Drosophila melanogaster: one gene and its partners. The gene in region 3 interacts genetically with the main gene of each other region. Each region holds a gene or a part of one and is shown on either strand. Other genes may lie near its edges. The genes, in order: mys, babo, EcR and ari-1.

The links.
Region 1: of EcR (region 3) and mys, changing one enhances a phenotype caused by changing the other (phenotypic enhancement), as found in Drosophila melanogaster (2 studies listed by BioGRID).
Region 2: of EcR (region 3) and babo, changing one suppresses a phenotype caused by changing the other (phenotypic suppression), as found in Drosophila melanogaster (2 studies listed by BioGRID).
Region 4: of EcR (region 3) and ari-1, changing one suppresses a phenotype caused by changing the other (phenotypic suppression), as found in Drosophila melanogaster (one study listed by BioGRID).

What each region holds. Positions count from the first base shown.
Region 1 is NC_004354.4:8,059,571-8,065,077, forward strand, and holds the start of mys (myospheroid), read left to right. Parts: upstream 1-2,074; 5' UTR 2,075-2,155; exon of another isoform or gene 2,156-2,510; intron 2,511-4,269; 5' UTR 4,270-4,387; coding exon 4,388-4,889; intron 4,890-4,962; coding exon 4,963-5,191; intron 5,192-5,507. UniProt on the Drosophila melanogaster protein: Integrin alpha-PS1/beta-PS is a receptor for laminin. Integrin alpha-PS2/beta-PS is a receptor for Tig, wb and Ten-m. Contributes to endodermal integrity and adhesion between the midgut epithelium and the surrounding visceral muscle.
Region 2 is NT_033778.4:8,950,493-8,955,707, forward strand, and holds the start of babo (baboon), read left to right. Parts: upstream 1-1,846; 5' UTR 1,847-2,479; coding exon 2,480-2,537; intron 2,538-2,610; coding exon 2,611-2,925; intron 2,926-4,241; coding exon 4,242-4,359; intron 4,360-4,466; coding exon 4,467-4,675; intron 4,676-5,215. Other genes in the region: CG33199 (uncharacterized protein), read right to left, coding at 214-264; CG8229 (uncharacterized protein), read right to left, coding at 1-95; Tom7 (translocase of outer membrane 7), read left to right, coding at 1,301-1,400, 1,510-1,574.
Region 3 is NT_033778.4:6,128,197-6,133,605, forward strand, and holds the start of EcR (ecdysone receptor), read right to left. Parts: upstream 3,646-5,409; 5' UTR 2,922-3,645; coding exon of another isoform or gene 2,870-2,921; intron 1-2,869. UniProt on the Drosophila melanogaster protein: Receptor for ecdysone. Binds to ecdysone response elements (ECRES) following ecdysone-binding, and recruitment of a complex containing the histone methyltransferase trr, leads to activate transcription of target genes.
Region 4 is NC_004354.4:18,131,550-18,139,892, forward strand, and holds the start of ari-1 (ariadne 1), read right to left. Parts: upstream 6,137-8,343; 5' UTR 6,027-6,136; exon of another isoform or gene 5,816-6,026; intron 5,591-5,815; exon of another isoform or gene 5,502-5,590; 5' UTR 5,112-5,501; coding exon 4,893-5,111; intron 3,791-4,892; coding exon 3,638-3,790; intron 3,577-3,637; coding exon 3,520-3,576; intron 2,812-3,519; coding exon 2,162-2,811; intron 1,823-2,161; coding exon 1,699-1,822; intron 1,638-1,698; coding exon 1,411-1,637; intron 1,329-1,410; coding exon 1,247-1,328; 3' UTR 1-1,246. Other genes in the region: CG43229 (uncharacterized protein), read left to right, coding at 7,082-7,330. UniProt on the Drosophila melanogaster protein: Atypical E3 ubiquitin-protein ligase, which catalyzes ubiquitination of target proteins together with ubiquitin-conjugating enzyme E2 Ubc10.

The DNA of each region.
Region 1 (5,507 bases), on a different chromosome or scaffold from region 3:
AGTTAAATTGTAAATAAACATGGAATGCATCGTTTTCCCAGGCCACGGGGAAAAAAGGGTTGTTGCGGCAGTTGAATAAATCCGGGGAAAAGCAGCTGTCGTGTCGAAATTTCCCTCCATTTTGCCGGGTTGCTGACCCCTAAGCAAATACTCGAAAACTAGCAGAAAATGCAAAGTGTCCTTGGGGCAAACCGAAGAGGCGCGCTCTTGTGTCGTTTTCCACTGTGCGAAGGTGGGCGGCTAGTGGTGGAGGAGGCGGGGGTAAACGCCACGTGCGCTGCACTTTTTAAACTTACTTTTCCTTTGGATTTTATCGTTCTTCTTTTCTTTTTGTTGTTTCGTTAAATCCACTCGTTCTGTTACTGTTTATTCGCTATTATGGGCGAATATATGTATATATCCGAATGACTTTTGATTTTGGCTTTGTTTATGGCCGCGCTGCCGCTGGATGTTGATTTTGTCTTAGCCAAGTTTAGCTTGTCGGTTTTGTTTGTTGTTGTTGCTGAATTGCGTTGTTGCTATTGTTGCTGAATTTTGAATTGAACATATACAACATACAGATTGTACACGATTGTTAAAAAGTTGCAACTGTAAAAATAAAAACAAAAAATATTGGTCACATCGGGCACTATTTTTTTTCTCGAGATTTTTGGATTTGCGCGCGCCAGAGAATGAGTGTGGCGTAAAGAGAGGGAGAAAGAGTAAAATCCCCAGCGACAAATGTAACGTAACCCACAACGTAAGCGTCTTCTGTACGTCACCACGCTACGTAGGCCACGTAACGGTATGCTAACGTTACCGACGGCGCCGCAAAACCGCAAAATCAAAAAATACAATAACAAAATCGACAAAATTATAGATTTTCAATGTGCACGTCGGTTTCTTTTTGCTAGCGAAAATCAACTAGCGCTAGTATATTTTGCTTTTGTTTTTTCTCATTTCGAGTGAAACTTTTCGCGCGCTTCTGCGTGTGTATTCCTCTTTTTTCGTTTTTTCTTCTTTTATTTGTTAATATTATTCACTTGGTGACTACACACGTTCATGCTCATGCCCCCTCACTCGACACACACACGCACACACACTGACGAACGTTTCTGCTTCTTGCTCCTCTTTCGTTCGCTTTTGTTCCACCACCGAAAAAAATGAAAAAAAAAATTTGTCATGTCCATTGAAGTCTCACATTTTTCAAATGCATTTTTTGGCGCTAAAATCTTATAAATTTCAACATTTTTCCATTCGCATCTGATCCCCCGCAATTAGCACTCCACTTCGAACACAAATTTATATAATTTTTGCCATTTTTTACCACAATTTTTAGTAATTTCTACACACCGATATATACGTACGCGCTACGATTTTTCGACAAACGCGCGAGTTTCTTCTGAGTCGCCATCAAATATACAAAATTTTTTTTCGAAATTACTGAAAATGCGAATACACACGCACACATGGACAGCCGACGGGCACGAGGCGCACGCGCTTGGTACATGCGGCTATGCCGCTCTAACGCACTGCTTTTATTGATAAATCGAGAGCGGGACAGCTAGAGCTACCGGCCGAGAGAGAGCATGTGAGAAGAGCGTTCTGTGCGAGTGTGTGTGATAGAGAGAGCCAGAGAGCAAAGTAGTCACACATACTCTCGCAAACTCATAGTGGCTTTCGTTCTCTCCTTTTCTCAACCATTTGCACGTACTTTTAGCTTTTTCATATGGCTATTTGGGAAATTCACCAGCAGTTTACACTTATGCTGTTGTTAGTTTTAATCCATTTATACTGGTAGAACGTAGATTCGTCGGCTACTTTACATTAATTTCGTAACGTAAGCGCAACAAAAACAAGGCTGTCATCGATATAAGCAGGCGTTTTTGTCTGAAACTATCGTGCAATAAGTGACTCCGATAACCAGAGTTCCTTTACGTGTTTCTCGATTACTTATCGGATTGTGTTTGCGAGCACAAATGTCTCTTTTAGCGGAGACACAGTCCTCCAAAACTGTGCAACACTGTTCCTAGGCTCGGTGTGACCAGAGCTATTTAACAACACTGGCGAACATCGGATGGCAAATATCGAAAGAACATTGACTGTTGTTCCACCCCCTGCTGACACCATCTGGTAACACTGAACAACAGACCAGATCCGCGGACAAAGCAAAGCAGTAAATATTAATTTAATCCAAATCCAATTCCCGACACCAATTGGCGGCCTTCAGCTGCTGCTTCTGCAGTCGAATTGTATTTTTTTTTTTGGTTTTTCGTGTCACCCGATAAGAGTTAAATTCGCTGATCTAGCGAATAACGGTGGCAAGTAATTGTAATAACTGCGTGTGTGCACAGTGCTAGTGTTTAGTGTGCGAGTGTGTGCGTGTGAGTGGGAACTCCACAAGTGTGCGAGAAGGCAAATCAAAATAAGAAAAGTGCCGCCCTGATGGAAATTAATATCGCGAATTATCAGCGAAAACGCAGCGAAAGTTAAGCCAAAGTGCTGCGATTAATCAGATAGCGGGTGAAATAGTGGGTATTACGTAAGAAATCAATGGATTCCGGGCTGCATTTGCCCAAAAAAAGAGGAAGCAATATCGAAGCGCTACTTTTATCTCCTCTTTTTTCGATGATTTCATTCGCAGTGACGACACACAGGCACGCACACACCGAACGCCGTATCTGTGTGTGGGTTGTTTGTTGAGCTAAAAAAAATAATGAATCCTCACGATACATTCACTCGTTTCATTTTTTTTGTTATTATTATTCATCATATTTATTTATTTCTTTGAGTGTGCATATCGGCGACTTCGCGACGCCAATTGCTGATTACGCCCCCTCCCTTTTCAGTGCAACTTCCCCACCCCGGAGATCTTGCACTCGAACTAAAAATCGAGTAGAGTACGTAGGCAGAAGCGAAAAGAGCGTACAAAAATCAAGAGCTCAGTGGCAGCAGCAGGAATTTGTGTTTGTCAGGGGATTGCCCAGATTTTCGGGGTAATTGTCCACTTTATAAACAGCCAACCGAATTTGAAACCAACTGTAACTGGAAGTAAAAACCAATTTTACCAAAGCTATCAAAAAAAAAACAATAAAAAAAATGAAATCCTCTGCGCGCCGCTGGTTTAACCAGTACGCCCACATGTGGGCGGCCCAGATGTGCCTCGTTTTTGGCCCAATGGCTGTGGGCGTCCATCCGTGGTTGAAACTATGCGCTGCAGATGCTGTTTACTCAGGCGGTTTATAGTATTACGAATTTGCTAGCTAAAAAACTGATTAAAACTACTACTAAGTGCACAACTCATAACTTTGATATGCTGTGACTGGGTGTATAAATGATAATCGAATGAAATTATTCAATCCAAGGGTATATAAACATGGGCTTAGTCGTTTTTAGTTTGTTTTCCTTTCGGCACACGATCTGCTGCAAATCAAGCTCTGTGGTGTGTTAGTGTTCGTTGTGTTGTGTGTGCGTGGGCGTTTAAAAATAGCCGACCAACACAACACCCATACGTATACGTAATCTGCAGCCCTTTTTTTTCCGTTCCGTGCATATGGAATTTTGATTTGAGTCTTGAGTGGCTTGGAGTGAGTGATTCATGTGGCTTTAGGCGGAAAGGAAACCCAGCGAAGCTGACTCAATGACCACTCATTGTTCGTTCGGCCTTTGTTTACATTTTGCCAGGAGCCAAGAGAGCGAGAGAGCGTGCTAACGGAACGTGCTCGAATGAGTAATTCGCATTGCATTTGACGTTTATCGAAAGCTCTCTTCCTTCCGCTTTTTTCCTTTTCTTTTCGGAGGCCAACAAAAAAAAACAACAAAAGCACGCAGGCACGCACACCCACACACAAGTTCGTACATCAATCGCTTGGTGTGTGTGTGTGTTTGTGAGATGAGTCATCTGGCCAAGTTGATGAGAAAATAAAATTAAACATTAAGGTAGAGCGAAAGAAACAACAAAAAAAGGGGACAGATGTGCGGCCATTTGCTGTTGTTTGTTGTTGCAATAAAGAAAAAAGCAGGGCACGCGGAGAAAGCAGTGCTCGACAAGCAGTGCAGTCAGCAGCTGGACTTTTACGTACACCGGCGTTCGTAAAAATTGCAGCGAAATCGAAGAAATCAAATTGTGTCTTAAAAATAAATGAAAGATTAAGGCATATAAAAAAAAATAATATAAAATATGTAGCATTAGAAATATAAGTGAACCAGGAATGGCTTTTATAATAATTTCTGCCCCTTACTTAACATCTAGTGCTAAATCCAACAATTTTAATTCACTTACCATTGCAGCCGGCGCACAGAAGCGACAGAGACAGAGCACACACAGCACCTGGCACATCCAAGGATATCCGATCCTCCTGCATCCCGAATCATCCACAACCTGCACCAACCGCTAACCGCCAAAGCCATGATCCTCGAGAGAAACCGGAGGTGCCAGCTGGCCCTCCTCATGATCGCAATACTGGCCGCCATCGCTGGACAAACGGATGCCCAGAAGGCGGCCAAACTGACGGCAGTGAGCACATGTGCATCGAAGGAAAAGTGTCACACCTGCATCCAGACAGAGGGTTGCGCCTGGTGCATGCAGCCGGACTTTAAGGGCCAGTCGCGGTGCTACCAAAACACCAGCTCACTGTGTCCGGAGGAGTTCGCCTACAGTCCGATAACAGTTGAGCAGATTCTAGTGAACAACAAACTAACGAATCAATACAAAGCTGAACTGGCGGCTGGTGGCGGCGGCTCCGCCATGTCCGGCAGCAGCTCAAGCTCCTACTCGTCGAGTTCGAGCTCGTCGAGCTTCTACTCGCAGAGCTCCTCGGGATCCAGTTCCGCCAGCGGATACGAAGAGTACTCTGCCGGCGAAATTGTCCAAATCCAACCGCAGTCCATGCGACTCGCATTGCGCGTCAGTGAGTAGCAAACGATTGCATCATCCATGTGACCTACAAACTAATCCCTTACTTGCTTATCAATACACCTTAGATGAGAAACACAACATCAAGATTAGCTATTCCCAGGCGGAGGGATATCCGGTGGATCTCTACTACTTGATGGATCTCTCCAAATCTATGGAGGACGACAAGGCCAAATTGTCTACGCTGGGCGACAAGTTGTCCGAGACCATGAAACGCATCACCAACAATTTCCATCTTGGTTTCGGTTCGTTTGTGGACAAGGTGCTCATGCCCTATGTCTCGACCATTCCCAAAAAGTGAGTATGACCTACATAAATGTGAAGGAAAACCATGAATTGGAAATAGTTCTACAAATTTTGCTGATTGAAGATGATGCCAGATGCCGTCAGTTGATGGTGCATTTCTTTAAGGCCTATTAAATTATTGTATTTATATATTATATTATACAGCGTATTTGACTTGTTAAAATTATGATTTGTCTATTGTAGCGTACAATAGCCCCTCTAGTCATGACAATGTGCTTATGATTCAAATAGCGAATCAAATTAAGTTTATTTTTAAGTGATGCTACTTTCCAGAAACTCTGCAATAGTCATATCCTATTTGTCAGCG
Region 2 (5,215 bases), 2.8 Mb from region 3:
TGCTCCTCGAGATTAATGTAAAAGTAGCGCAGCTTGTGATTCCTGCCTTCACTCTGGCACTCCAGACACTCGTCTCCCGGCTGCAGTCGCTGCATTCTCAACGACGATTGTGGTGGTCCTTGGTTTGCCCGGCCGAAAAACTCAGAGGTTTCCCCCAGAATGCGCATGCTGTTTCTGCCGTTTGGCTGCCTGGTTTAATGTGCGTGTGCTCACCTGACCGAAGGTTAAACGGAAAGCGTACAGGCCGAGATTGCTTGTTTTCATGGTCCGTTCCAGTTCCAAATCGAGCAAATCGGGACCTGCAACAGTAGTAGACACGGTATCCGGTTATTCGAGCTTACATAACATCAATTGATTTTTCCCCGACTGCGTGCGCTTTGCTCTTGTTCGCTCATTGCTGGCGTTCTTTATCACTTACGTTTCGTTTGGCAATGGGAACTTTAGTGCTCGGCGCTCTCTGATTAACCGCGATTGCAGGTGCAGCCGATTAAACCAGCAACGTTGCTAAAATTTGGCGAGCAAATGAAAACCAAGAAAACTAAACGATCTAGAACTCATGTGAGTAGCGGGCAAGTGCGAAAGGGACTCGAGATTAGAGATGGGACTTCGAGTGGCTGCGATAGTATCGATCTACGGAGCACTTGCCTGCTGCGAGAGATAGCAGGGGTATTTTTTATTTTTATGCTTCATATTGTTAAGAAATCAACGAAAACTTTGAGCGTTAAAAAGAAGTTTCCTTACTTCAAATTCTTGTTGCATTTCCAACGCTTTCAGAATTTGAAACTTTGGAAATGTAACATCTTTAAAGTTGATGGGAGTACACATGCAAAAATATTGCGGGATCATTAAAAATACGAAAAGGTATTTTTCAGACCAAGCACACTTTTTTCTTTTCATGATATGTGTCCAATAGACAACTTGTCGGTGAAATGGTAGTTAAAAACCTTTATAGTGGAAAATATAAATTAAAGAATATCAGATTAAAACCCAAAGGGCAAAACGGTGTGACCGTTTTAGAAGCGAATTTAAATTTTGCGCTCAAATGTCAATGTTGCCACACCAACAGAAATCTGTATTCGAAATAATTTTACTGATTCTTTAAATTGGTAAATTATTTCAGGCCCAGCAACCTGCGACAAAGCCATCCCAAGAAAATATAAATTGAACGAGTAACCTAACAAAAAGTTTCTGTCAGCTGTTTTATATCGAAAAAAGTGCTGTTTTCCAACACTTCGTTTGCAGTCAGACAAGTTATCATTTCATAATTCGCAAAAGGAGCTAAATTCAATATCCGTACGAAATGAAGCTATCCGAGGGAGTTAAGGATCGTTTGGGATTTGTGGTTGGAGTCGTCCAGACTGGATTCCACTGGGGATTCGTGCCTCTTGTGCTGTATTTGGGTAAGTTGTGGTTCATGTTTTTTGTAATCTACACGCGGCTGGGAAGAAGAAGCAGCGGGGTAATATCAAATGGACCGACATTGATTTTGACCAATTCTCATTTTCGCAGGATTTATGAAGGGAGCTGAGCCTGGCATGCCGCCTCTGAACCTTTTCAGTCTGTTATGGCAGTAAAAATAGTGGACATGATCATTTTGCTGTCGTATGCCCCGCATTTTGGTTCTGGTTGGGTTTCTGGGAACGGGTGCAGTACCTGCAGCTATTGCAAATAAATATCTGTTACAAAACAAATCGAAATTTTTTTATGTATCCTGGAAACAACCAATATTTTAACAAAAATCATTGTCCATAAAAACATAACCGATTGGGCATTTTTACGCACTTCTCTAGCGGGTGGGTGTTTTTCATGGGCAGTCCAGCCTGGGCACACTACTGCAGGTGCGGTCACACTGTTTGCAAATCCACACACACCAGCGCGGTTTTTCGCTGCACAAAATTGTACATTTAAGAAAAAATAGCAGCAATTAATATAAACAAACGGTTGCCCCAGACACCCGAAAGTGCCGGCTGTCCCGCGGAATATGAAATAGTGCCACTTCCCCCGCGCCACTGCCCCAATCACGTGATGAAAATCCGCCTGAAAAGTCGCCCTCGTCCGTGAAATGTAAAGCAGAGCAGAGCAGTTTTTCCAACCAACTTGTGCGGAGTGTGGAGTTCGAGTTTCGCATTGCGGGCCCCCATCGAGATTCGCTAATTGTGAGAATCGCCAGTCTATATTCCCGGCCATGCCCCCGCCAAATGTGGGAATTCGCGGGCGCCTGTCCTACGCGATAAATGCGCAGTTCGGGGCCAATTAGTGGCTGTCTGAGGTGTCCTCCTGCCGCTCCTCCTGCTCCTGCGGCCCCGCCTCGTCCTGCCGCGAAACAACAATCTCATTTGCAGGCCACAGACTTTGAACTTGCGACGCGCGTGTGCGTGCGTGCGATCGTGGAAAACAAAAGAAAAGCTCTCGGGCTGCACAAACAATAACAATAGCTCGGGTCGGGTCGCACACACTATCGTCGGTGCGAATAGCCAACATGTTATCTGCGCTCCGGCTAATCTTCCTGGGCGCTCTGCTCGGCGCCTCTGTTTGCGGTGAGTGTACCCCCCAGCGGTTCCATTAATCTGGATCAGGTGCGAAACTAACCTAAAATCTCCCCCGGTGCAGCCTCCCCCATTGAGTTCGTAATGGACACCAGCCTAAATGGCTCTCGATCTGATCCTGCGACTGCAACCCACCCTGGCAAATGGCCACCGACGACCAAAGCGCCGGCGCTCAGGGCTCCAGCTGGAACAGCTGGACATGCTTATCAGTCGCCATCGTCGTCGCTGGCCGCTGATAACAGAAGCCACGACAACAACAACGCTAGCGCCGTGTCCATGCTGCTGCCGCAAGACGGCGACGCATCTGGAGCTGTGGCCCCTGCTGTTACTCCCCAGCTGCCCATCTACATTGCTCAGCCTAGCGCGAAAAAGCCAGAAAGTAAGTTCCGATTGCCTAACGAGAGTGTAGAGCACACTGCGGACAATGCACCCCGAATTATCTAAACAACAAGAATGTGATAGATTTACAGACTTGTTCCGGTATTGCCTTGCAAACATTTTACTTGACTTCAGTTAACCAGGAAAGTCAGCACAGAGTAAAGGTCATTTTACTTCCCTTTTTTAAGGTGAAATCCATTATTGGGAGAAGATAGAAACCGCTTAGTGGTTATACCTTACTTGTCCGATATATTGACATTTTTGTTGTTGTTGTTTAATAATTAAAATATCTTACCAAGGGTTACTTAATACTTGGCGATCTTTTCGATGCCATAGGGATCTTTTCTCCGTGTGTATATCGCGTGACTGTAACACCTCAAAGACTCTGAACGCTTCTAAAAGGCCGTCTTCGTCTGCGCCTGAGGCTCCGATTCCGTTCCCATATAGTGACGTCACCTCTCCGTGGTGTCAATGAGCTGAGCCAGACAGCTCTCATGGCCCACTCCAACGCTGCCTGGCTGCAGACACCCCCACGTCTGGATGCATTTGCTTGCTGCACTTGGGCACTTGCAACTGCAGTCGGTGCAAAAAAAAGCAGGCCTAAGCACTGGCACTGGCTTCTCGCTGTCCGGGGGAAGGGGAAACTGGTCGCATTGTCTGGCCCTCCACTTTGCACTTGTCTTCTCCGCGTCTGCTTTGTTAATGCTAAATGGTTTTGTTTTTGTTTCATCACGCTCTCGGCGGTGTCGGTGGCGGTAGATGTGGATATGGTAGTGGCTATGGATGTCTATGTGACTGTCTGGGCGAGCGTGTGCCCGGCCAGGTGCCCCGGGGGCATGGTTATGGCAAATCCCAATTTGTGGTCAGGAGATGCCAATCAGCGAGTGGTTGATTTATGGGTCTCTTATTTCTCTAATTAGTTAATTTCTGCCAGCGCCTAATTGATTGATTTGCTTCAATCGGAGTCGGGGCATTTTCTTAATTCGAGAAGTTTGCTACTGCTAACCTATGCTTTTGCGTTTTATTTGTTTAAATAATAAGAAAATCATTAACCGTGGCAAATGAGGCGCGGACCTCTTCCTTTGCTTACCTTTCCACAAGTAATTAATATTCATTAAATATTACAAGAAACACGTGCTTGGTTAGGATCACCTACAAATAGTGAAGATATATCGTTAAGCGAAGAATAAGTTTTTGTTGGTGAGTCGGTTTAAAGTTAACAAATTTTTGGTAGGAATGTATGGATTTGATAGTACTCTAAAGTTTGGTTTTTTGCAAATAGATCTTTATATTAATTTTACCTTTTATGTTCTGCAGACAAGATAAAATGCCACTGTGACACGTGCAAGGAATCGAACAATATATGTGAAACGGACGGCTTTTGTTTCACGTCCGTGGAGAAGAACTCTGATGGGAGCATCATCTTCAGCTACAGGTGAGTGCCGAGAGCCTGAGGAGCAGGCCTTTGATTAGGTTAGCACTTGCCCCTCAGAGCAGCCAGTGTGAATATGTCTGATACGATCGATCTATCGAGCGATGCAGATGTCTGCACAAGTCTCAAATCTTTCCGCCGGGCCGCTCCATCTGGTGTAACGACGGGCTGCACGGCGGACCAACCGCCCGCCCAGTGGGTCGCAATGGCGCCCACGCCTGCTGCAAGGACAGGGACTTCTGCAACCGATTTCTGTGGCCAAAGACGAAGGACCAGAGGAGTGATCGTGTCGAAGAAGGGCGGCAAATCTCCGTCCAAGGTGCGTGCGCTTATGCACGTGTTTCGCTCCCAAAAACCCCTCCTCTCTGACTGCTCCCATTTCTCTGTTCACTCGCACGCCGTTCAACAACCAGTTGCCCAGTTTTGATCGTTCTTTGGACTGTTTCCCCCACTTATGCTCGTTGAGTTGAAGTTTTGAAATGATCATAACCCCAAATGCAGAGCACTACTAATGATGACCTGCTGAAAACCAGAGCGGCGTTACACACACTGTAATCAATATAATTATAATACTCTTCTTGCTACTAACCAGACTGCCACTTCAATTAGCAACAAGCCGAAGGCGGCAACAACTACAGCTGAATCAGAATCAAAATCAGAATCAGATGCAGCAGTAGCAGCATCAGCAGCAACCAACAACCAATGCCAAGCAATACTAATTTCGTATAATTGTTATTTTATTTTCTCTATCTCCCGATATTTCCTTCGCTCCCTTCGGCTCCTCCACTCGAATGAATATATCGAACTTATCGCATTATCCCCGCTCGTTCACATATTTGTGGACTGTGCTGTACGGTGA
Region 3 (5,409 bases):
CAAGAGGAAAAACCCTATAGACGAGTCACAGCTGGCCCAAAGTGTAGTAAAACTGGTTAGTGTTGACTGGCCCGGCTTCAAAAATGTGCTTGAATCATTTCCTTTTCCGGTTAGTTGGTGTCTCTCTTCCATTCTGCGGCGTCTACGATTTGCATTTCTAATCAATAACACTAACGGTCTGACCTTTTCGGCAGCAAAGAAGACACATTAAACCCAATATAAAATGACAGCGCATTGTGTCAAACCAGATTCAATACTCATGGTTGACGCTTAGGAAATAATAAACCTCACTAACTGAACTGGATAAGACATTGTTTTAATGAAAATAATTAATTTGAATTGACCAGACATGTTCGGGAAAGATACTGAAAACAACTAACGAAAAACGTTTTTTTTTTTGTGTAATTTTTTGGCATAAGCCATTAAGTTTATTAGTTATAGGGAAAAAGTCAATGCTAAGAATGACAACGCCACAATCCGCTTGCCCCTAAAAAATCTGAACAAGTTTTTCAAGACTTAAACCTTGCTTTATATTACAACTACGTTCATTTTCGCGTTGCTCGGCTAATCTACAACAACAATAAAATTGTTTTGTCTGGACTGTGGAAAGTCATGGAAACTCTCTGTCATTGGCGATTGTCTGCGAAAGTGTTGGCAGCTCGACTTTGTTGCTGGTCTGTGAAAGTCCACAAGAGCGTCGGGGAGAAGGCACAACTCATTCCAAGCTCGATTGCTTTATGGCAGGCTACTCTTAACCGCACATACACAAATTAGGTCCATCCAGACCGAACGGGAAGGAAAACCAGCTAGAAAAGGCTGACAAGATAAGGCACTCAATGCAATTGATACAAGAGCACATACAATGGCACCTGTTTGCCATTTCTGCCATTCCCGTTCCCCATTTCCATCCAGGGGATGAAGAACGGAGTGGTGTTCTGTCTCGTGACCCACTGGTCTGCACCCATTAGTATCGTCGCCCCCAGACGCGGTTACATTGAACCTTTTTAAAGGGGGGTTGTGTGTGACACTTTGGAAACAGTTGTGATATAAAATAAGGTATTTCGATTATCCAGGGTCATTTTAATTCGTGCGGATTTGGTAGTCATAATTGTTGTTATGTCTGTGGTAGGACTTTCAGAACACTAAGCAGATCTTTTGATCGTTTCCATTTGCTTGTATAATTTCTTCATGTCAAAGTCATTTAGCTAAGAACCCCAAACTATTGTAAAAATGCATAGAGGGTTCGACATAAAAGCACTGGTAACTCGGTTTTCTCAGCCTGGGCGAAGCCACAACACTGAATCCCATGTATAGACATACATGTGTCTATATATTTGCATAAAATCGCATTAAAATTTGCCATTTGGCCACTTTAATGTCCCATAAAACATAAACAACAGCAGCGAAGACGAAGTTGTCGACGCCATAGGATATAAGTTACTTTTTTTGTGCTCTTTGTTTGTGTCCAGAAAGTGTAGCAAAGAAGAAATAGCGAAAAACTTAATGTGCAAAAAGCAGTTGGAAAAGAGAATCTTTAGTCGAGTGCTTCGACTAAAAGATACCCGCTAGCACGTTTAAAACTAAATCTACAATTCTGAATTATGTGCATCCTGTAGAGGAATTTCATTTAAAAACCCAGCTTAGGGCTTTTGAGCTTATTCGAATTTCTAGGAGCTTTAGATTGGACTTGGCCGAGACTAAAAATAAACTTGCACAGCTCAGTCATCGTTAGAACTTAAATGCTGTGTGAGTAAAGGGTATCAAAAAACAGAGCCATGAAGTCGAAAGTTTAACCAGACCCGCCCAGGAAACGAAGGCCAACGGGTGGCGGTAAGTCTGTGTCGTCGGGGGGATGGAACAAATTAATTGTGGGAGAGTCAAACTAATGTTGGGGACTTTACTGGAACCTAAGCGCAAACCTAATGCTGTTACCTAATGCCTCATTAGGCGCTTTAAAATAGGGAAGCCCAAGCGCACAAGAGGACTCGCCTTATAATGTATAATAATATATCGCAGTACCTATTAAACAATATACCAAAAATAAGATAAATAAATACTACACATTTATTGTAGAATTGAACATTTAACAATTGAAGTCATTGGATCCAAAAAGTGAAGTCTCTTCAGACGAACAGCATTTACATGTTCCACAATTTTACCTTCTCCAACACGATTCAAGTGCCCAATCTGTATCGAATCATTTTTGAGCGTTCTTTCGGCACTTAATAAATCGAATACGTTTTACACCGAATTAAACCTTATCAACAGAATATATGTGAAAATCAGAGTAAATCTGTTGGCTGAATTCACTGAATGCCCACTTGAATTTATGGAAATACATGCCAATTACGCAGTCGAGTGCTTTCCTAGACCGACATGCACATATTCGTCTACACCGGGGATCTATGGTGGCCCGAAAGAGGCTTGATTATGTTTACGCAGGCGAAATACACAATTTTCAACGTTCTGTCTTGACCGTCTGTCAGTTGTCATGACCATAATTAATGTATTGCCAATCGAACCCCCATCCCAAGCATGTGTATCTTTTTGGGACATCATAATGTCTGTATGTACAGCATGTATTCAGCTATGCGAACATATGATCTGTGTATCTTGGCATTGAAAAGATCTAATGGTAATGTAGTTTTCATTTCGGCTGGATGAATAAGAAATGGAAATTGATTTTGCGCACGCGAAGTGACAAGTGCGCCAAGACAAACACATTAGGGCCTGAACAAATCGAAAATAGTTTTCGGCTCCGAACAGCGAACTTGTTGCCTAACTCAGATCTTTCGTTAAGCAGTTGACCACAAAATGTTGTTATGGAAAAGCGCTTGGTTCTATTGGATTCCAAGGTGCCCACACTCACCATATGCGTCGATATAGTGCGCCAGTTCTGCTACTAATCCACAAGTATCCATGGGCCCACTGCGTATTTGAACAAAAGGTATTCCAGTTGACAAAGCACTATTTGGAATGTTGAGTAAAATCTTTTCACTACCTTTATATATATGTAAGGGGATCGGGATCCACGGCACAAATCCCTCACTCACTCGCGCACTATCTTCGATATATGTACATATGTAATATTGTGGATGCGGAAAAAGTCTCCGGCTCCTGGCAAAGCGGAGCTAGCGTTCCACAGACCACGACTAGACGGGCGTCTTATGTCTGTGTGTCACGTTGCTGATGTTTGATTTCGAGTTCTGGCTTCGTTGTTTCCTATTTACATTTCGATACCGCTGTATTCCCTCAGCCGCAGTTTGCACTATGCAGCCGCCATATAATATCTGTACAAATATGAATATATGCTCTCGATTTGCGTTATTTTAAGAACTATTTCCTTTTGCTTCTTCACCACTTATGTATGTATTTTTACTATTGTTTGAGTTTCAGCTACAATGCATTTGCACTTTATATTAATTTTTGCCGATGAATTGCACTTGTGTTTGTTGCGGTTGTTGGGGGAACTGGTATTATTTGGGATTTGTCTAACAATTTTTCATAAATATATGTAGGTGTATATGTGATTTAAACATTATTTGGTTACAACATTTTGGGGGTTTTCGGTTTTGAAATGTAAGGTGCTTTGGGAAACCGTACTGTTAGGTTGTCGTTTTCAATTGTGTGTGCTGTATTTTGTATCTTGTTTTTTGACGAACGCGATCGGGCTTCGTACGTGCGAGCGAACAACCGTTAACAACAAAGTCCAAAAAAATACTAAATCAATGAGCGAGACGAGCAGAATGTTAAACGCTCAAACTCACCACACTGGCACGCACACCAAAGTAAACTCACCAGACACGCACACCATGGCGCTAAAAGAGCGAGAGTTAAAAGCGGAATCGGCGCTAAAGATAAATGTGAAACGCAGGCAGCACTCACTCACACAGCCACAGACACACACTCTGAGCAAGCGGCTTGAATGAAAATGCCGATGCAATTGCAATCGTGGAATACTCTTTGTCCGCTCTCCGGCACGTATCTGTGAGTTGTGTGCGAGCGTATATGGCCGTGTATGCGTGAGTATGAGTGCCATCATCGCTTTCATTTCTTGCTGCTTTATTTTCGGTTTTCTACATTTATTTATTGTTTTTTTTTTTCGTTCGTTTTCGTTCATCGCTACTTTCGGGTGCACAAGTGCAAATTCACACGTATGTACGTACATTTGAAATATTCTCGCATAGTGGGACGAAAGGGTCCATAATAAATCGGAAGGAGTGCCACAACTTGCAATAATTAAAAGTAGGATAAGTTGAAATATTTAGCTTAAATTACAGTCTCTCTACTTCACCTTTTCGATACATTCCAAGTTTTATTTTCAATAATCTCTAACATCAATTGCATTTTTCAGTGTCCCTTTAAACTTTATTATTTGAATACATATATGTAGCAAATATCTCAACAAGAAAACAATGAAAACGTTTCATGTGGCCAAAAATACTTTCTCACGTCAGCTGAATGAATAATAAATAAGATCGAGTTAGAAAACCATAGAGAGTCCTCCGAAGGACTGTTTTCCATTCGTTGGAAGGGAAATCCACCTGAAGTCAGTAGACACCGCTGTTTGAAGCAGAATATTGACACTACGAGACGTAATTGACGGAAAGGAAAAAGATCACCAGGAGGGTAAACAGAACGCAGATCAAACTAACAGCCACAACAGTATCTATGAGTATGTACGTATGTATACATACACATACACGTATCACCGCCGTCTGCTGGGCGACGTATAAATTGCACGTTTCGAATACATTGTGGTTAAAAAGTCAGCGCAAAGCGAGCTGAGATACTCAGATACAGATACGCACACATCGCTGCAGATAATTGTTTGCCCATCCCTTCCCCCCACCACCAGCCCCATCATTCGAATCGCTACGTATTTACTTAACGTCGCTGTGTGCGTTGAGTTGACGCTGGGCAAGTTCAAGTGTAGAATGCAATAGAGAATTGCATTTGCCAGAGCGAGAGAGACGACCTCGCTCTCTACGCATACGCATAGAAAAGCCGGCAAAATGCAAGGGCAAGGTGGTGCGGGACTGTGGGGGTGGTCGTACTGACGGTGACAGTGGTTAGCATGTGGTGAGTTTCGCTCTGTTTGGGGTTGGCTAGACACATTGAACCACAAAAGTTCAAGATGAAAACACAAAATATCAACAATGACAGCTGAGTAGTGGGGACGGCAGCGGCTTGGTGTCGGGGGCGTGAAAGAGACTTTGCCTCTCTCTATCTCTTCCTATGTTTCTCTACTTCTATTTGTTTGGGTATACCAATACAAACACAGCTGCAACCCATAACTGCGTCTATGATGATTTTCTTCTCTTTCGTCCTTCCCCACATTCTCCACTCCTCCACACGTCTCGTTCCCCTCTCCTCCACTATCCTTTTCCCTCTTGGCCGACTGCCAAA
Region 4 (8,343 bases), on a different chromosome or scaffold from region 3:
AATTTAAAACATAAATTTTACAAAAATTTAATTTTTCACACGCCGCAAGCTGAATACTCTAATGACAAATATTCTAATAAAGTAATTTTTGAAATTTATTTTGTGATAATATGTACATAGATTTGGCTATTTCTAATCTATTTTCAAATAATAATAACGTTAAGGCAATGCAAAACAAGAATTTTTAGCATGGTGCCAATTGATCAAAAATAATAAAGATTTAAAGTCTAAGAAGGGGGTCAAATTTACAATGCATAAGCATACGTGTGCACACATACAATTGTCTGCTATCACTGTATACGTAGAAAAGAGCTATTTGCTGTAGCGCTCTCCACTCTCTCGCTCTCTCTCAAAAATTCGAGAGAGCCTGGAGCCACCTTCTAGATCCATTGCCAAAAAAATGTGTGCTAAAAAATCGCGTTGCGTTACGCATCTTGTTATTCTATTGTCTTTGGTCGAAGGAAGTTGGGCAGGTGGAAAGGAAGCTGGGCGAGTGTTTCTGCTTACATGTGTAGTTTGTTTATTTCACATAAGTTTAGGTTCTATTGTTGGCTTCTCATCATGCGTGTAGCTTTGAATTCACTAATTTTTGCATTTTGTTTCGTTTTTCATTAGGTTTTTATAACATGAAGATTTCTTTGCAATCGGTTAACATCAAATAAGTTTTTAACTGTTGATTATTTACTATATATCTATTCTGCTTCTGAGCCTTGTGACTGGTTCTGTGTGTGTGTGTGTGTGTGTGTGGGAGTGTGTGAGTATGTGTTTGGTAGTGTCTATTTGATCCTGTCCTTCTTCGTGTCCTGCTGCTGCTCTTGCTTAGTACGAAGAAAAATATATATAATTCAATATATATATTTATATATATTACGATTTTATGGTGATTTCCTTCTGGCTTCTGTGTTCTGAAATGGCTTCAATTTTGCTTTGCAACTCTTGTATGGGGATTTATCCTGCGTTTCTGGGAATTTCGAGTCTCCTTTCTCTTGCGTTTCTGTGTAGCTTCTGCATTATCCTTAACTTCTGTTCAACTCCTTCGGCTTCGATTTCTGCGTGAGTGCGTGCGTGCGTGAGTGTGTGTGTGTGTGTGTGTGTGTGTGTTGCGTGGCTTGGCGGATGTTGGTCGGTATGTGGATGGGGACAGTGTTTGCTGCATTTCGGATGCTGGATGGGGTGGCGCTTAGCGGGCACTACATTCCGATTGCCTGCCGCTCGGCTTAGCTTAGTTATCCAGCCATGACTCGCGTCATTCTGTGTACTCCCACCACTCCTTGTCGTACCCCTCGTGCACGTGCTTCAGCAGAACAGAGCACCGCTTTTCACAATACCTAATCGAATGGAGAGACCAATCAATGTTTGGATAATGAGTCGTTTGTATGTTGGGGACACGGACATGGCTCGCTCGCTCACCTGTATTTATCTTGCACTTTCTGCTTAATATCAGCCAAATTCTCGGATGTAATATCACGTTCCAAATACTCCGACAACATCTCGGTTGCCGACTCCAAGTCCTTTTGATTATCCTCGAATATCATGGATTGATTGTTCTTTTTCAAGTAATATGCAAACACGTACGTGTACATGAGAGTCTGACGGCACTGGCAAAGTATGTCGACAGCCTTTTTCAGAAACTGCACCTGCAATTGCAATGAGTGTGCTGAATTCGCATTGTTATGGTCACGAGTTTTCACCACTTACCTCAATCCATGACATGTTGTGCTGTTGCATCTCCTCCATCTTTTGCTTCACAGATGCATACAATTTGTTCTCAAACTTCATCGACTGCATGTGGTTCATGTAGCGATTGTAGTAGTGGAGATATCTGTAGATTTGGCAGAAGATAATATATCAGTTGAGTTTTATTCCATAATGACTTTCACATTTCTGCCTAGATACTTTCGTGTTTCCTTGATTAGTTTTAGCATTTCTAATTCTACAGGTTTAATCAGCGATAAAATTTAATTACGAATTATAGCTGATTCATTCCTTTCTACGGCTTTCAATCGTTATCTTTTCTTAAAAGAAATTAGCAGATAAAATAAACCGCTAACCGTCATTATCAGCGAACTGCGAAAATAATACACAACAAGTATCACTTAAAAAAAAAAAAAAACAAAAGGGGTTCCTATCCTGTGACATCGTTCACAGTCGAATGACCCACCTGGCCAGCGAGGAGCGCAGCTTCTCCTGAGCATCGCGGGCCGTCTTGGCCTCGTCCTCGTCATAGCGATTGCAGTTGTACCAGGAGGAGCCGTGCGGCTCCCAAGAACCGAGGCACACCCAGCAGAACTCGTTTTTGCAGTTCTGGTTCTTGCACACCATGTGGTTGCAGCCGCCGTCCTTCTCGATGGTCACGCTGCACCTGGGACACTCTTTGGTATTGGCCGCGATCCAGTTGGACGTCTCCGAGTCGTCGTCACACTTCTTGATCCACTTCTTTAGCCAACGGCACTTGACCGGATCGTGCCAGTTCTCGCCGCAGGCAAAGCAGAAGACATGGCCGCATTTGCAATGGACGCGACGTGGCTCCGCGTACGGCACCTTCACCGCATAGGTGCAGTCGACGGACGGACACCAGCGCAGCAGCTGGTTGCACTCCACAAAGCTATTGGTGATCAGCTGCTGGTACTTGACCCGCACCCGTGCGTCCGTCACTAGGTTGGCGACGGTCACGTCGTCCACCAGGATATCACAGCCGTGCGCCGCGCACGAAATGGTCTGGCCCAGACCCTCCGCCACGATCTTCGTTGACAGATACTCGTGCCAACAGGGCATGCAGAATCGGTGTCCGCATTCCAGCCCGGCCATGGACTAAATGGAACGAAGAGAAAGTAGCTATTAGTATACATTGTAGATATTCTTGAAGTTGTTGCTTGTGGAGCAAAAGAGTATACAATATTATAAATATATTATAATCGTATTCTATAATATATACTTAAAGATCACGCGAACTATGAGAGCTTAATGATGAAGCATACAGCAAATTAAAACCACCTACATAGCGTATGGTAATTTTAAACTTTTCATAGGTGTTTTACGCTCTGAGTATTTGTTAGTTAGCTTGTCTATAATATATTTAAGTTTACTTTGCTGTTATAACCCAAAGTTGCCCATTGCAATCTACTCTTTTAAAACGTGATACTAAATTTTACTTTTTAAACTACATTATTAAATGTTTGATTCCACAAGACAGTTGGATTCCAGCGAATTACTGCTGAACTGCTTACATAACCAAATTCAGGCTAACAATCAACAATTGTAAATCAAGCAAGTAAATTAGTGATAACGTAAGCCAATAAAAATAATTGATAAAATACAAATCAAGTCTTTTTAGAATATTTTAGATTTGTATAGCAAAGCAACGCCCTAACATTATTATCAGGTCATCAGATAAGGCACCATTGACCAGTTAAAAAATCATGTTTCCCCCCAAAATATTCGTGGTTAATCAGCGGGAAAATATATTCTACACCGCAATTAGGTCACGGAGTTACTCATCCCTTCTCCATGACAACTTACATCTGGCGGGAGCTGTGAAAAGCATATTTCGCACTCTTCGCACTGACTGCGTGAGGTCTGAAAATGAAGGGAAACGCATTAGATGAGACATCAAATGGAGCCTTAGCACTGGGCTCACCTTTTGTTTGATCGCTTCGGTGGCGTTGAAAGGATTTATGACATGTGCGCATTTGAAGAACTCATCAGTGTTGTCGTCGAAGTACTTCTCCAATAGCTTCTCCTTGTCCCACTTGAAGTGATTTAGCAGTATCCGTGTGGTGGGTGTGGGTAGCTGTGGCCATAGACAACAAAACAAATCGAATGTCAGTGGATGATGGCACATATGTACATATATGGGGTAAAAGAGCGGGGGCTGCATCCCAGTTGGCATCGAAATCAATGCCAAATCATTTGCGATCAGCAGCAGTATGATCAGCAGTACCTATGTATAATCGTGGATGGGGTTGTGATGTGGAACCACTATAACTACCACTGGCAATTGGTCTATCTAAACAGTATAATTTTTAGGATATATAACATTTCTTGGCATTCCTAATAACTAATCGATTTGTTTGGAAATCGAGAAAAAGTACGTATGTATGTACAATTCAATTTTAGAGGGAAGAGTTACTCAAAGGTGCTTTGTTTAACTAACAATTAGATAGCTACATACATGATCTGTATCAATACTGAAAGTTAACACTCAAGCTAAGTGAATTTCGCTTATTATTGCAATGAAAGATTTTCTGATGTTTAAATGTCAATGAAACAAAAAAGTATTACATGGATTCTACATTGATCCTAATGTATTCATTTGAAATGGAATCTATAATACCATTTTAAGGGAATCCCCCGAAATCTGGGAAAGTGAAAACTGTGCTAGTGAACTTCGGGCAAGTCAGCTGCTGATGCGGATATGGGATGCGGATCTGGCGACCTTGGGTGCGCCTGGGTGCTTGTGTTCCGATTTCACTGGCACTGGCAGTCATCAGCGGACGACCTTCAGCTTATCCCAGATCCCAGGCAGGGCGGTGGGCGGCAAGAGCGAGGGGTGGGGAAAGCGATTCACGGATACACATGCCCAAATGCACTGTGCTGCACACAGTGATGCCTCCGAGCGGCGAACAGATCAGATATTCTTGGCAGCTATACGCCACTAAACTATGTCAAGCCATTTGGCTTTCACTGCAAATCGCAGCGCTAACGAAAGTCGAAACAAACATGTTCCTGCTAGGAAGGCCTGACTGTAGAGCAATCAAAGGTGACTGCTTGCCTATCTTTGTTGTCTGGACTGGGTGAAGAATGTACCTCTATGGCTGCCCTAGGACTGATAGTTAAGTTGCGGATGGATAGTTATACTAGCGGGTGTTCACTGTACTTGCGCTTGGCCATACCTTCAGCAGCAGATTGGCTTCGTCGATGATCTCGCGCTGGTGTTGCACAATCTCATCGGTGGTGAGCACCTTGTACTGGTAGTCATCTTGGTCCATCTGGCGGTCCGCGGAGCTTGGCAGGTCCACCTCCATGCCAAAGTCATCATCGCCGTCGTCGCCCGAGGAGACGTTGCCCGAATCGACATTATCGCAGAAATCATTGTCATTGTCCGAGTCCATTTTTCGGTTTCTGTTTTGCGTTACTGCTTCTGCTTCAGCTGCTGGTGCTCCTTCTGCTCTCTTCCTCTTCCTGTTCCTCTTGCGCCTCCCGCACCACTTCCGTTCCTCTTTGTTTTCAGCTTTCGAGGCTTTGTTTTCCAGCGTTTACTTCCAGTATTTTACTTTTGCATTTGCATTTGCGTTTGTTTCTGTCTTTTCGTTTTCCTTTGCCTCGTTTTCCACTTGCTTTTGTTTACGTTTTTGCGCAGCCCTTTTCGCCAGTTGTTATTATTGCTGCCCTCGCAGTGGCGTGGCCAGTTGTGTTTGGTCGCTGCACTTGGTGCACAGCTTCTATTCCCTTTTTCACACTAACTTATTTTGTGCGCTGCTAATTTGTAGGCTGCGTGCTGGCTATTTTTATTTGTAAATGAAAAATGAATATGTGAGATTTTCTAATGACAATACGAGACCCTGCACGGTCGCAGCGCAGTCATACTGGTTCGGTATTTTTAAGAAGAACGGTCACACTGGCCCGTGCGCTTAACAGGGCCGAACTGCTGATTTAACAGCGAACAACACTATGTTAAATGTGTGCATGTGTGTGTAAAATCATGTAAAATCGACCGAACGTCGATGGGACAAACAAAAAAAAACAACGAAATTATGTACACAAATGCATTTTTCTTTAGGGCAGATTATTTTGTTTTCAAGGTAATGGCACACACCAGCACACTGCGCACACACATGCGCACATTACGTGTGTATTGCCACACACACGTACACAAAGGCACAGTCGAAAAGCTTATGACTTTTTGTTGTTTTTCTATGCACTTTTCCAAAGAAAAAACACTAGCTTATTGCACTAATCGTGCTCGCCTTCGTCGCGAAGTTCGGTTGCAATGCACAAATTAAATGGAATTTTCACGAAAAACTAACCGTAAAGCCAACAAAATGATTTGCATCGGTGTTGGTTCTCACTTGCTCTCTTTGCTTTTCTCAAAAAATAACACACACACACACGCGCTCGCACAGTGGAGTCAAGTGTGCGTGAAAGTGTGTGCGCATGTTTGCGCTTTTTTCCCATTTACTTTCGTTCCGATTGCCGCCTGTTTCATACCGTTCCGTTAAATCGTATGTTTAACAACATCTGCTTATCGATGGGTGCCAAAAAAGCAATAGTGACTTATCGACGGCTGGGAAACAGTAGATTCAAAAACAAGTGAGCTTCCAATGAACGTTTTCTTGATTCTCAGTGTATTCATCAAAAGAGATTATCTTAAAAATGAGACATGCGCTTAATTTACAGAAACAGTTTTTGAGAAAATCCCTTTACAGAACAAGACTTGAAGGGATCCATTCAAAGGCACGAACCACAGTGTCAAATTCCAATCCGAGACATAAACCTGTTTGAAATAAATATTGTTATTTAAACATTATTAATTATTCTTGGAATTAAAGGGTATACTAGATTCGTTGAAAAGCGCTTCCGACTTCATAAAGTACACATATTCTTGATCAGGATAACTAGGCGTCTTGATCTATTATTGAGATCTTTTATTCGACTGTCAAGATATTATACTCAAACGTTTTCTCATGTTTTTAACTGCAACCTCCGGTTGTTTGCGGTTAGAGTTTAATCTTTAAAGTGGCGAACAATATAAAATTGCTAAAACTTCGCACGAGCTAAAAATATATTTGAATAAAATTATTTTAAACTTTACTGTCCCAATTTTCATTGTTTCACAAGTACCGTTAATCAAATTCAATGGTAAATTGCCACTCTGTTGTAACATCGATGTATCGATGCCATATCGATACCTTATCGATACTGTATCGGTTGATACAGAGTTGCACTGGCAATGGGCGCCTTATTCGATTTCACTTAAAGTTTTTTATTGTATATTGTGTTTTTATTGCAACACCTGACAACTGTTGTTGTGTATAAGGTATGTATATAAAGAGCCAGCTGGCTTAATCAGAATGCGGTCATAATGCAAATTCGTTGGATGGCAGTTCGATTTCTTCTTCTTCTAATGGTGGCAGCCATACGGGCCGACCTGGGCGGATCCGGAAGTTGTGGGCCCTACGAGTGCCGTCTGAGCAACCCGATCTGCCGATGCGAGTCCTTCTGCCAGGAGTTCAGTCAGCGGTGCTGGAAAAACCCATCGGGATGCCATTGTGCGAGAGGATATGCCCGTAACGAACGAGGACACTGTGTGCCTCTTATTTTGTGCCCCTGATATAGGATTCACCATCAAAACAAATATCTAAACGAATATCACCTTAAAATTCATATGTAAACTAAAAACCGATTGCATGGAAATAATCAGCATGCAAAATAAATACAGCAGACACATTTTTAATGAGAAAAAAATGGTTATAAAATTGATTGGGCGTTTGCCTCATTACACAGAAGTAAATATTTTAATGTTTTCAATAATTTTCTATTGGTTTAATATTAGGCATTTGTAGAAATTATAAAACCAATAAATAAAAACTACAAAATTACATGACGGCAGTTACTAAATAGCATTTTTAACATGAACCAAAATGTATACCATTTTTGCATATAATGAAAATGACAATTTGATTGTAATTCAATCAATTGAGTTAAATTTACCGAATGCACTGAGCGCATGAATGGCTGCATTGTTTTTTTTTTTCGCCACAAAAAAGCAGCTGAAAAATGCACCGCTCCATTGGGAGTATTTAAGTCATTTTCATTTATGAATAGTAATACCAGGCAGTTGCCACTAAAACCCGGCCATCGCATATAATTGTGATTAAATTACTTTGTATGTATATTTATACATTAATACATATGCATACATATGTATGTATCCATGTTGGCCATTACCTATGCAAGCATATATATATATACATACATTGTTCCAATTTGCATTTCAGGAATTAATTACAATTTGCATTAGGCACGCCATAATTGCTGGCAAGTTTTATTACACGAAACGCCAGTCTGTGCTGCCCGATTCAATTATAGTAGAATCCTTCTGGGAATTTATTAAATTGTCAGTTTTTTGTATAAAACCAAAGGTTTAAATATGATTAAAAGCCACCAAAAGGCTTTTTGCGCTTGATTTTTAAATGTATTAAAAAAATATAGAAGTAGCGATAAAGCGCTTATTTCATTACATCCCTTTTGAAATAATTAAATTACGAAGTTAGTTCTTTAACGAAAAAGGGCAATCAACCGCCATGTAGTGATTTTTTCGCTCGAACTTGCTTTCTTTATCTT